Linked DNA regions of Oryctolagus cuniculus. The protein of the gene in region 3 binds, or shares a complex with, the protein of the main gene of each other region. Links are inferred from orthologs where the notes say so. Each region holds a gene or a part of one and is shown on either strand. Other genes may lie near its edges.

The links.
Region 1: the proteins of UPF2 (region 3) and UPF3B are in contact, whole or in part, in a crystal structure (PDB 7NWU), measured with the Homo sapiens proteins. The link is inferred for Oryctolagus cuniculus from reciprocal best matches to the Homo sapiens genes UPF2 and UPF3B. Residues at the interface, in NP_056357.1 of Homo sapiens: Lys767, Arg768, Pro769, Pro770, Leu771, Glu773, Tyr774, Lys777, Lys790, Arg793, Gln794, Arg796, Lys797, Leu798, Pro799, Trp800, Gln801, Cys811, Ile814, Asn815, Trp817, Tyr837, Gln838, Glu839, Asp840, Ile843, His844, Val846, Asp847, Gly848; in NP_542199.1 of Homo sapiens: Lys52, Arg56, Arg57, Tyr79, Glu81, Phe83, Asn85, Asp86, Thr87, Ser88, Leu89, Tyr90, His92, Tyr94, Arg96, Tyr98, Ile130, Glu132, Pro135, Phe136, Lys138, Ala139, Ala140, Arg147, Asp148, Lys150, Val151, Gly152, Thr153, Ile154.
Region 2: the proteins of UPF2 (region 3) and UPF1 are in contact, whole or in part, in a crystal structure (PDB 2WJV), measured with the Homo sapiens proteins. The link is inferred for Oryctolagus cuniculus from reciprocal best matches to the Homo sapiens genes UPF2 and UPF1. Residues at the interface, in NP_056357.1 of Homo sapiens: Val1105, Cys1107, Glu1109, Asp1110, Phe1113, Ile1114, Ala1116, Leu1117, Met1120, Met1121, Asn1124, Leu1125, Arg1128, Met1169, Pro1170, Phe1171, Val1172, Met1173, Leu1174, Thr1175, Gln1181, Lys1184, Leu1186, Asn1187, Val1188, Pro1189, Ser1192, Gln1193, Leu1194, Asn1197; in NP_001284478.1 of Homo sapiens: Asn150, Thr151, Ser152, Gly153, Val157, Asn158, Leu160, Val161, Arg162, Lys164, Lys166, Pro175, Leu176, Gly177, Thr179, Tyr184, Cys188, Asn190, Val191, Phe192, Leu193, Phe196, Pro198, Asp202, Ser203, Val204, Val205, Val206, Leu207, Cys209.

The regions. Positions count from the first base shown.
Region 1 is NC_091453.1:73,250,712-73,254,352, reverse strand, and holds part of UPF3B (regulator of nonsense transcripts 3B), read right to left. Parts: intron 2,203-3,641; coding exon 2,092-2,202; intron 1,037-2,091; coding exon 993-1,036; intron 561-992; coding exon 378-560; intron 1-377. UniProt on the Homo sapiens protein: Involved in nonsense-mediated decay (NMD) of mRNAs containing premature stop codons by associating with the nuclear exon junction complex (EJC) and serving as link between the EJC core and NMD machinery.
Region 2 is NC_091447.1:65,854,703-65,858,343, forward strand, and holds part of UPF1 (regulator of nonsense transcripts 1), read left to right. Parts: intron 1-358; coding exon 359-498; intron 499-1,154; coding exon 1,155-1,244; intron 1,245-2,065; coding exon 2,066-2,233; intron 2,234-2,359; coding exon 2,360-2,540; intron 2,541-2,815; coding exon 2,816-2,977; intron 2,978-3,067; coding exon 3,068-3,185; intron 3,186-3,302; coding exon 3,303-3,401; intron 3,402-3,508; coding exon 3,509-3,641. UniProt on the Homo sapiens protein: RNA-dependent helicase required for nonsense-mediated decay (NMD) of aberrant mRNAs containing premature stop codons and modulates the expression level of normal mRNAs.
Region 3 is NC_091444.1:71,004,916-71,008,656, reverse strand, and holds the start of UPF2 (regulator of nonsense transcripts 2), read right to left. Parts: upstream 2,839-3,741; 5' UTR 2,569-2,838; coding exon 2,512-2,568; exon of another isoform or gene 2,432-2,511; intron 1-2,431. UniProt on the Homo sapiens protein: Involved in nonsense-mediated decay (NMD) of mRNAs containing premature stop codons by associating with the nuclear exon junction complex (EJC).

The DNA.
Region 1 (3,641 bases), on a different chromosome or scaffold from region 3:
CAAACAGATGAGGCAACTTCATGTATCAATTATGAAGGAAAAGCTGAATAAAACCCGTAATTCATGCCAGCCAGCCCTAAGCCCTCATTTATTATGAATTGAGAGAATAATCTAAAAATTGAATATTTTCAATGATAAAAAGAACATAGATCTGCACTAAAGAAATGATAACATCATGTAAACTACTTCTCATTTTAAATGATCTTAAATTAAAAAAAATAACATTACAGGAAAGATTTCTATTGGTTCATTCCCCCCCAAAAGGATAAAAACAAAACAAAAAACTGATTTACACCAATACAACATGCATGCATATTTAAAGATGTAGATACATGCAATTTTCAACAGCATGCAGTCAATTTAAATTATCTTCATACCTTTATCTTTGGTTCATCCCTTAATTTGTCCCTTTCTGGAACTCTGTCTATCTTCTTCAGCTTTTCTATATCTTTCCTTTTTCGTTTCTCTTCTTCTTTCCACTTTCTTCTCTCTTCTTCCCTCTGCCGTTTTCTTTCTATTTCTCGTCGCCTTCTTTCTTCTCTCTTTTCTTCTCTCATTCTCTAGAAGAAACATCAACACAAACCTTCAAGTAAGATAATCATCATCAAAAACCTAATCAATCCCAAAGGCATGATGGGCTCCCACTACACTGGATCATCTTTCTACAGCCTCCGTAACCTCCACCCCGCCCAGAAAGGGATAGAGAATGAAGACCAGGACCTGCTAGTGTCAGTCTCCCCCTGCTGCCTTGCTGTTCTGTCCAGAGGCCTTCAGAATATCAAGACAGGGTCTCTGGGAGAAGCTAAGGACTCTCCAGGTTTACAGAGTGAGAGAGAGGACCAGAGAATGAGACTCGCAAGTCCAATCTTTATAAAGAACAGTGGTGGAAAAAGCAGCTCTTTCTTGAACTACAGGACCCCAATGCTCTTAAAATATTTACAGAATGTGAACCAATGAAAGTATTCAGAGAACTATAAAAACAAAAGGTTTACCTGCTTGTTTTTCAGGAAGCTCAAAAGTGGGGTTGTCTTTTTAGCTACATAAATGTAAACAGATTATTAATAATACTCATCACTCTCTAGCAAGGATTCCATTTCCTGACATTCCCTGCCATCCACCCAAGGTGGGAAAACTATACCCCTTAAACAGAAAGTTAACAACTATATTACTGGGAAGTAGTTTTACTGTATCCCATTTTAGCAACAGAGGTTTAAAGTACATCTTAAAAACTGAAGAAATTAAAATTAAGGCAATCAAACAATTTTTAACAGAGTAATTTCTAGTTAGTAAGAATTAAGTACAAAGGACATTCTCTTGTTTTACTAATAAGAATATGAATTTTTTCAATTGGAAAGAAATTGAGGAAAGGAATTAAAAAGATCTAATGCTTTTGATCTCATAATTCTGCTTCTGGGAGTTTATTCTAAGAAAGTTACCAGAAATGAGCTTAATCTGATTAATAAAAAATCAAGTTTTCAAGAAGAATATTCAGCTTCATTTTTCTACATTCTGAACAGTGCTATTAGCTCTATAACTACTTTTTAAATACATACTTTCTTAAGATAAATTCCTAGGAGTGGAAATCTGGGGTGAGACTCAACTGGTGTTTAGTTACTGATACAGTAGTGACAGCCTATTACTTAGAACCAACATCCAAGCTAGAATTTCTCAAGAGGTTTTCACTTTTGTAGTAACCAATTCCTTTATATGTGTATATACATATATATATATTTAAATACAAGATATATAATCAATTTCTTTACGTATATCTTTACTTATATTTATTTGTAGGTCAAAGTTTTTATGAACATTAACTTTTTGTTGCTAGGAAATATCAATTGATCTTCAAAAGCTTACCATTATCTAAATTCCCCTTATCAGTCTTTTCACACTTATATTACAAGGCAAGTATTATCATGTGCATTTCTCAGCAGAAGAAACAGTCTCAGAGAAGTAAGTGACTTCTCCAAGGTCACTGAGCTAGGAAGTGATGGAAGTGGGAGACAGACTTAAGCAAAAAAAAAAAAAAAAAAAAAAAAAAAAAAAAAGAAAAAGAAAAAGCCCTTCCCCTAATTCCTCTTGCCCACTTACCTATTAATTCTCTATTTTTTGCTTCTATTTCCTCTAGCAGTGTCTCTGGAGTAGATGTCATTTTCTCATTGTCTGTAGCATAACTTTCCAAAAATTTTCTATATTCTGGATCTAAATAATTGTTCAAGGAACCAGAAAGTATAGTAGACTTTAAATGAAAGACCAAATATTATATAGAATTATATAGGATACTTAAGTATCAAAGAGGGTAATATCCTACTTCATGGAAGATTAAAAAAAAAAAAGCATACCCACAAGATAGACTATTTAGGGCTTACGTGGTCACAAATAGAAATGCTACTGCCAGTACCCATTATAGAAGTCTTGTATAACACGGGAGTCAGGAAAAATGAGATACCACACATCATAACAGAACCACGGGGGATATTATATGGGATATTTTTTAAAAAGATCTATTTAATTATTCAAAAGGCAGAGTTACACAGAAGGACAGAGAGATCTTCCATCTGCTGGTTCACTCCCCAAATGGCTGTAACAGCCAGGAGCTAGGCACTTCATCTGGGTCTCCCATGTGAGTAGCAGGAGCCCAAGCATTTGGGCCATCTTTTGCTGCTTTCTCAGGCACATTAGCAGGGAGCTGGATAGGAAGCAGAGCAGCCTGGACTCGAACTGGTGCTCATAGGGATGCCCATGGTAGATACAGTGGCTTAACTGCTAGGCCACAATGTCAGCCTCTACCACTGCTTCTACCAATCCAGAGTCACACTCAGGGGACAACTGAAAGTTACAGCTATGGAACCTTCTGAGAGTATTAGGTATAGTATATAAACAATTCCTGTATGGCTATACCTTACTTTGGGTAAACTCAACATAAAAAATCAGATGTTCCAAAAAGATAAGTTGGGCAGAAACCCTAGATGTGGCACTGGAAGGGATGGTAAATCCTGAAGTTTTCTCCTAGATACTTTTGGCTTCAGAAAGGTGACATATCAGAATCATTACATTGCTCTTTCTAAAAAATTTATTTGAAAGGCAGAATAACAGAGAGAGGAGGAGAGACAGATACAGAGATATTCCATCTTCTGGTTCACTTCCCAAATGGCTACAAAGCCAGGAACTCCACTAAGGTCTCTTATCTGGGTGGCAGGGGCCTAAGTACTTGGACCATTCTCCATTGGTTTCCCAGGTGCATTTGCAGGGAACTGGATTGAAGCAGAACAGTCAGGAAATGAACTGGCGCTCATATGGTATGTTGCCTTTTTTTTTTTTTTTTTTTGGACAGAGTGGCTAGTGAGAGAGAGAGAGAGACAAAGGTCTTCCTTTGCCGTTGGTTCACCCTCCAATGGCCGCCGCGGCCGGTGCGCTGCTGCCGGCGCGGCACGCTGCTGCTGGTGCACCGCGCTGATCCGATAGCAGGAACCACGTACTTCTCCTGGTCTCCCATGGGGTGCTGGGCCCAAGGACTTGGGCCATCCTCCACTGCACTCCCTGGCCACAGCAGAGAGCTGGCCTGGAAGAGGGGCAACCGGGACAGAATCCGGCGCCCCGACCGGGACTAGAACCCGGTGTGCCGGCGCCGCAAGGCGGAG
Region 2 (3,641 bases), on a different chromosome or scaffold from region 3:
ACAGCTGGAGCGCAGTGTGGGGCTCCCACGCGGTGGCAGGACTCCAAGGCCTTGAGCGGTCAGTGCTGCCTCCCCGGCTGTGTTAACAGGAAGCCGGCCTTGCGAGTGGGGCCAGGACGTGAACCCAGGGGTCCCAAGTGTCGTCTTATCCGATTGGCCAGATGGCCCCGTGGGCTGGCCCTGATGGCTGACACTGTCACACGCTCCCGGGGGGGCTCCCCCAGCCGTGGGGGGCCGCAGCCTTTTGAGGGATCTGATCCTGGCTTGCAGATGGCTCGTCCCCACACCCCGGCTGTGTGGTGGCCGGGGAGCCTTGGCCTGGCTAGGGGCCTCCCCAGTGACGCTGTCCTCCGGCCAGGTCGGCCCCGAGGGCGTCCTGCAGAATGGGGCCGTGGACGACAGCGTGGCCAAGACCAGCCAGCTGCTGGCCGAGCTCAACTTCGAGGAGGATGAGGAGGACACCTACTACACCAAGGACCTGCCGGTCCACGCCTGCAGGTGAGCGGGCCGTGGGTGGAAGGAGACGCTGGCCAGAGGGCGCCCGGGCCCGTGCGAGTGGTGACAGCCGCCTGGTGGCTCCCGCAGGGCAGGGCTGTCCCTTGCGATTGGACTTGGCCTTGCATTTTGTTCCTCTCGCATGAGGGGTCTGCAGCCCCAGGAAGTGAACTGAGTTTACTCGGGGCCCCTCTGTGACACGCGGGTTCCAGACGGGGTCCTGGCTCGGCACGCGACACCACCCGGAGCCAGCGTTTCCGCGGGCGGGCCGGGGCCCTGCCAGGTGCCGCCTGCCGCGCCTGCGCCCGTTCCCCGGGAGCGCAGCGCCCTCTGCCGGGGCCCGCTGGGACCGCCGCCGCCGGCTGCTGCATGGAGGCCCGAGGGGAGGGCCCAGGCCTGCGTGGGCAGCGCGCCTGGCGGGGCTGGGCCCCGCTGCCCGCGCCCCTCCCCGGGAGCTGGGGGCCACCTGCCTCCTCCCCCGTCCTCTCGGGTGCACGGAGCCTGTGCAGTTAACGGAGTTGGTGCTGAGGCCGGGGTTGTTGGGTTTGAGGACGTGTTTAATGAAAAACGTAAACACGTAAGAGGAAAGACCTTTACGTGCTGGCCAGTGAGGGCCGGAGCGCTCCGCCCGCTGTAACGGCGCCCCTGGGCCTCCGCAGCTACTGCGGCATCCACGACCCCGCCTGCGTGGTCTACTGCAACACCAGCAAGAAGTGGTTCTGCAACGGGCGCGGCAACACTTCCGGCAGGTAGGCAGCACTTCCGGCAGGTGGGGCCGGCGCGGGCGGGGTCCTGACTCCCGGGTGGAATCCGGGTCGCGGGCTCCCCTGCTGCCGGGGCTGGGGCGCTCCCTGCCCGGGCCCTGTGGCATTGGTGCCCCCTGGGGGCCGCTGCCAGGAAGGCCACGCCCCGCGGCCGGGCGGCTCAGCGCCGGGTCCAGGGCCTGCAGGAGGCTGGTTTGGTTTGGTTTGGTTTTTTCGGTGTTCAAGCGCGGCCCCCGTGTGCTCGTTCCCTCCCCCGCCTGGGGGCCAGGCCCTCGGTCTGCCGGGTGGGTGGTCGTCGCCTCTGCCCGCCTGGTGCGGGAGGGCGGGGAGCTGGGTCCAGAGCTGCGCACGGCTGTCCCGTGGGGGCAGGGGGCTTGCTGAGCCAAGTGCCCACCCCGGGGGCCGGTGTTTTCAGATGATTTTAGCAGAAACGCCTCTTGTTTCAGTTGCTCTGTGTGCGTGAGTCTGACCCGAGGGCGAGGGAGCGGCTGGGGGGCCCTGGGGAGCTCGTGGAACCTGGACGGCAGCTGTGGGGCGCAGGGTCCGGAGCGCCGCCGGCTCTGTCCCGGGACCCCCCCATCCCCACCCCCGGCCACGGACGCCCTCGGTGTTTCTTCCCGCGCCGCTTGTAGTGCTCGGGTGCTCGGCTTCCCGGCCTGCCGCGGGGTGGGGGCGCAGGGGCGGCTGGGAACCCAGGGAGCACACGAACCAAGGCCCCAAGGCCGGGGTGTCCCCCAGCGGGGGCCGGGGGCCGAGTGGTGAGGGAGGGGCCCGTGCGGGGCGCTCAGTGTGCCGCCCGGCCGCAGCCACATCGTGAACCACCTGGTGCGGGCCAAGTGCAAGGAGGTGACGCTGCACAAAGACGGGCCGCTGGGCGAGACGGTGCTGGAGTGCTACAACTGCGGCTGCCGCAACGTCTTCCTGCTGGGCTTCATCCCCGCCAAGGCCGACTCGGTGGTGGTGCTGCTGTGCAGGTGCGGCGCGGGGCGGGGCGGCGCGGGGCGGGGACTCAGTGGTGCGGGGGGGGGGGGGGCTCGGTGGTGGTGGGAGGGGGCGGGGCTGGGGCTGCCGCTCACCGCTCCCCTGCCCCGCCCCCGCAGGCAGCCCTGCGCCAGCCAGAGCAGCCTCAAGGACATCAACTGGGACAGCTCACAGTGGCAGCCGCTGATCCAGGACCGCTGCTTCCTGTCCTGGCTGGTGAAGATCCCCTCGGAGCAGGAGCAGCTGCGCGCGCGCCAGATCACCGCCCAGCAGATCAACAAGCTGGAGGAGCTGTGGAAGGTGGGTGGGGCGGGCGGGCCACGGCCCAGCCAGTCAGTCAGCTGGGGGAGCTGTGGGGGCGGGGCGGGGGCGGGGCGGACCAAGGCCCAGCCAATCAGCTGGAGGAGCTGTGGAAGGTGGGCGGGGGCGGGGCGGGCCACGGCCCAGCCAATCAGTCAGCTGGGGGAGCTGTGGAAGGTGGGCGGGGGCGGGGCGGGCCACGGCCCAGCCAATCAGCTGGAGGAGCTGCGGGGGCGGGAGCGGGCGGGGCTGAGCGGTGCGCTGCCCTGCCCCAGGAGAACCCGGCGGCCACGCTGGAGGACCTGGAGAAGCCGGGCGTGGACGAGGAGCCGCAGCACGTGCTGCTGCGCTACGAGGACGCCTACCAGTACCAGAACATCTTCGGGCCGCTCGTCAAGCTGGAGGCCGACTACGACAAGAAGCTGAAGGAGTCGCAGGTGACGTGGCCGCGGCCCGGCCGCAGGCAGCACGGGGGCGCGCGCGGGGCCGCGGGGCGGGCGCTGACCGGGCCTTGTCTCCCTGCTCAGACGCAGGACAACATCACGGTCAGGTGGGACCTGGGCCTTAACAAGAAGAGAATCGCCTACTTCACTTTGCCCAAGACTGACTCTGGTAATGAGGATTTAGTCCTAATTTGGTTAAGAGGTGATTTTAAGTTTTGAACTCCTTGTGCCGTGGTAGCGCCAAGCCCCTGTGTCGCCCCGAGCGGGCGCCGGGCGCGGGAGCCGGCGGGGGCCGCGCTGACGCCGCCCCTCCCCGCAGACATGCGGCTCATGCAGGGCGACGAGATCTGCCTGCGCTACAAGGGCGACCTGGCGCCGCTCTGGAAGGGCATCGGCCACGTCATCAAGGTCCCGGATAGTATCCTTGCCTGCGGGCGGGGGGCGGGGGCGGGGGGCGGCGGGCTCGCAGCACGCACCCACGCGGGCCGGCAGGCCGGGCGCGGGCGCCGCCGCTTCTTGACGCGGACGCGGACTTGACTCAGCGCCCAGACTACGGCGACGAGATCGCCATCGAGCTGCGCAGCAGTGTGGGCGCGCCCGTGGAGGTGACGCACAACTTCCAGGTGGACTTCGTGTGGAAGTCCACGTCCTTCGACAG
Region 3 (3,741 bases):
AAAAGAGATTCTCCAGTGGGTAGTAGTACAGCGCAGCTGGTTAAGCAGCCACATGGGATGCCCACATCCCACACCGGAGTGCCAAGTTCAAGTCCCAGCTGCTTCACTTCTGATCCAGTTCCTTACTAATGCACCTGGGAAGTGGTGGATGCTGGCTCAAGTGTTTGAATTCCTGCCATCCAGGTGGGAGATCCAGAGGGAATACCTGGCTGCTGACTTCAGCTTGGCCTTCACCACAGCCCTGGCCATGGTGGCCATTTAGGAAGTGAAACGTGAGATGGAAGATCTGTCTGGCTGTCACTCTGCCTTTCAAATAAGTAAATAAACAGTTTCTTTAAAAAAAAAAAAAAAAAAAAAAAAAAAGATTCTCATTAAGACCCTCAAGTGTCTCAGTCCTGACATATTCTTTCTGGAGGGTGGCCCTTTTTTCCCTCTTCACTTTTAAAATTTTTATTTATTTACTTTAATTTCATTTGAAAAGCAGAGAGACAGGGAGATCTTCCATCCTCTTGATTCCTCAAATCGTGCAACAGCCAGGGCTGGGCTAGGCCAAAACCAGGAGGCCAGAACTCCATCCAGGTCTCCTGTGTGGGTCGGAAGGAGCCCAAGTACTTAAGACATCACCTGCTGCCTCCCAGGATGCACACCAGCAGGGAGCTGGATGGAAAGCAAAGTAGCTAGAGCTCAAAGCAGGCACTGTGATAGGGATGTGAGCAGCCCCTGCTCCAAAAGCCCATCCCTGTACTGATATATTCTTTAAATCACTTCATCACTCTATTACAGACATACCCTCCGAGCATATCTGGAACAAGATCTCAGGGAACAACTACAAAAAACTAACAGTTCACATGGAGGCAGCATTCCGTGCAACTTGTGAAAACAACATGTGCGGTCTTTGAAGTCAGTAAAAGTTTGCACCCCAACTCTGGGATCGAGAAGTTACTGATACCAAGCAACTTCGTTTCTACGTCTATTTACTGGACAAAATGGAGAAATGGCTGCTTCTCTGAGTTCCCAAATGCTAACACAGTAGCTAGCATGAGGGAGGCATCCAATAAATACTGGTTCTCTTTGACACAGAACACTGACAAGTTCATCAGATGAGAGATTTTTAAAGGTAAGACCATTAGATTCTATCTACCCCAATTCTCTATTTTTACATTGACTTGGTTGGTAGCAGTATTTTCTGCCCAAAATTATACAACTAGTTTAGTGACTGGACCAGGACTCACTGCCAGCACTCTTTTCTACTACAAATACTGGCCCTAAGATTTAAGAAAGCAAGCAAAACATATGGCAAATGACAGGATTCAGAGCCATATCACGTTAAGTGAACCATTCATTAAATTACATAATAAAGCACTAGACTTTTTAATTCAAACTTTGCTACTCAAGCATTTCATGTAAACTAAATGCCTCCAAGTTTTTCCAGTAAAATCTTCAGATTCCTCTCAAAATAACTTAAAATAATCAAGATACAAATTAGTGATCTTTTAATTGGAATATCAGCGCTTAGAAATTATTTCACTGAGCACAGTTACATTCAGATGGTCCTGAGAAGGAACCTATGCTAAAAAACCACCTTCTAGCTCCCAAAATAGTGTCTTGACACTTGGGCTGTATTATTTTGCTTTTTTTAAAAAATATACTCTGAACTTCCAAAACAAAGTAAAACGTCTTGACTAGTAAAAGTGGGACTAACGGAGAAAGCACAGAGAATTGGAGTGTTTCTCTTTTAAAGATACTCGTTTGCAAGTACCATATGGATTGTGTGTGAAATCACAATTAGACTGCTCTGAAAATACTCCTGCTATTCAAAATGTTCTAAGGGCATTATCTCCCCCTTTAAAAGGGTGTCCTTGGAGAAAACGGCTAACCCAAAATTTTGAGACATGTCATCAAACACGGTATTCTTTGCCAATTGGTCGGATTTTTAAAAACAACCGAAAAAGACCGTGATACATGACAAGGGTCGGCGATCGCTCCACTTGGGTACAAATCCTATCAGGAGCCAAGGAGCCGAGGGCCCAGTCGCTCCCGTGTGTTCCCCCAAATGTGAAAGCGGGCCCCCGCTCCGCCGAGCTGGAGACCCAATGCCACCCCGGGATCACCTCCTTAGTTGCACGGTACTAACAAGGAAGCACCTGGAGTCCTGGGGGTGAGGGCGAAGCGCAGAATCAACCAGCCCGAGGGACTACAAGGAAGTAAACCACACACCCACGCCCACATCCCAAGACGCCCAGGACCCCGTCCCCGACACACACCTCTGTCCCGAACCTCAGCTCGGGCCCCACACCGCTCGCCCGCCACAAGCCCCCCCTCCCCTCGGCCATCCACAGTCACCTTCGCCGGACACCCTTGCCCCAATCCTAACTTCGCGTCCCGCACGCCCGCCCCGCAGCACCTCCTCCCACTCACGCACCCTGCCCACCTCCTTGCCTTAGCCGTCCTCCCGGCTCCCCCAGGCGCGTCCCCCAGCCTCCCCTCGCTTCACTCCACGCCCCCAAACACCTTCAACCCGGCCACGGCAGGCTCCCCGCCTCCAGCGCCGAGGCCCGGCCCAGGCATGTGGGGCAGGCACCTCCTCTCCCGCTCCCCATGCCTGCCACGGCCCGGGGTTCCCGCGTTGAAGGAAGCCTCCGGGAGAGGGGGTCTGAGGAGGGCGACGCCGGACCCACACGGTCCCTCCACTGCTCGCCGCCCCCGGAGAGCTGAGGTACGGAGTCGCCTTTTGGGTCCCCCCAGGGAGTAGGAGTCCAGGCCGGTGCCCCCCCCCCCAGCCGCCCTCAGCCCTACTTCCTCCCGGTCGTTGGCGCGGAGAGGCAGGAGGCTCCCCGGGACTCACCTCGAGCCTGTTGTCAACATTAGCCCCGGGTTTCCCAGCACCAACTCCAGCGCTCGGGCTCTCCCCTCCCCTCCCCCCACCTCTCTCGCAGCCGAGGGCCCGCCTTCCCTCAGCTCCCCCTCCTCCCTCCGCCCGCCCGCTCTCCCGCCCGCCACTCACCAGCGCGGCCGGGCTGAGGGTGGGGGCGGGGCGGAGGGAGGGGGGAAAGGAAGAAGCTGTCCGCGAGAGTGCCGGATCGAAAACGCTCCGGGCCGCCCGTCCTCCCGCATGCCGATGCCCTCAGCTTGGCTCCGGGGTGAAAGGTCTAGAGCAAAGGCTCGTGTTGGTGCCGCTCATTTAGCGGCTCGTTCAAATTCCCCAGTTGAAGAGAGAAGCGACTTTTTCAGACAGGCAATCAACTGGGCAGCGACTACCAGCGCCTCTAGCCAGGGCCCCAGTAGAGGGGAGGAGTGTTTCGAGGACCGGAGGTAGGAAGTGGATTGGTCGCCAGGAAAGGGAAAGCGCCTGAATTGGAGATGCGCAGGCGCAAGCATTTCGCAGGGGGTAGGGGAGCGAGAATGGGGCGGGGCGAAGCTGGCAGCGGCTAGGGGAGGGCGGTGGAGTAGTAGAACTACGGAGCGCCGTTAAGGACAAACTTGGCCACGTGATTCTCCTGGGAGTTTCCTGGTGAGAACGTAGGGAAGAGGTCTAAGAAGGGAAAGTTTGATTGGACTAATTCGGAGAGGTTGAAGATTTGGGAAATTGGAAACTGGGGAAGCGAAAGAATATGGCTGGTGAGGAAGGGAGAAACTGGTTAGGAATGGATCTAGATTTAAGGTTGCCCTAAAAGACAGCCACAGTCCCGTGGGGGGATTTCCAGAAGCAGTTTAAGGAGTTCGACCTGAAACCATCCAGAG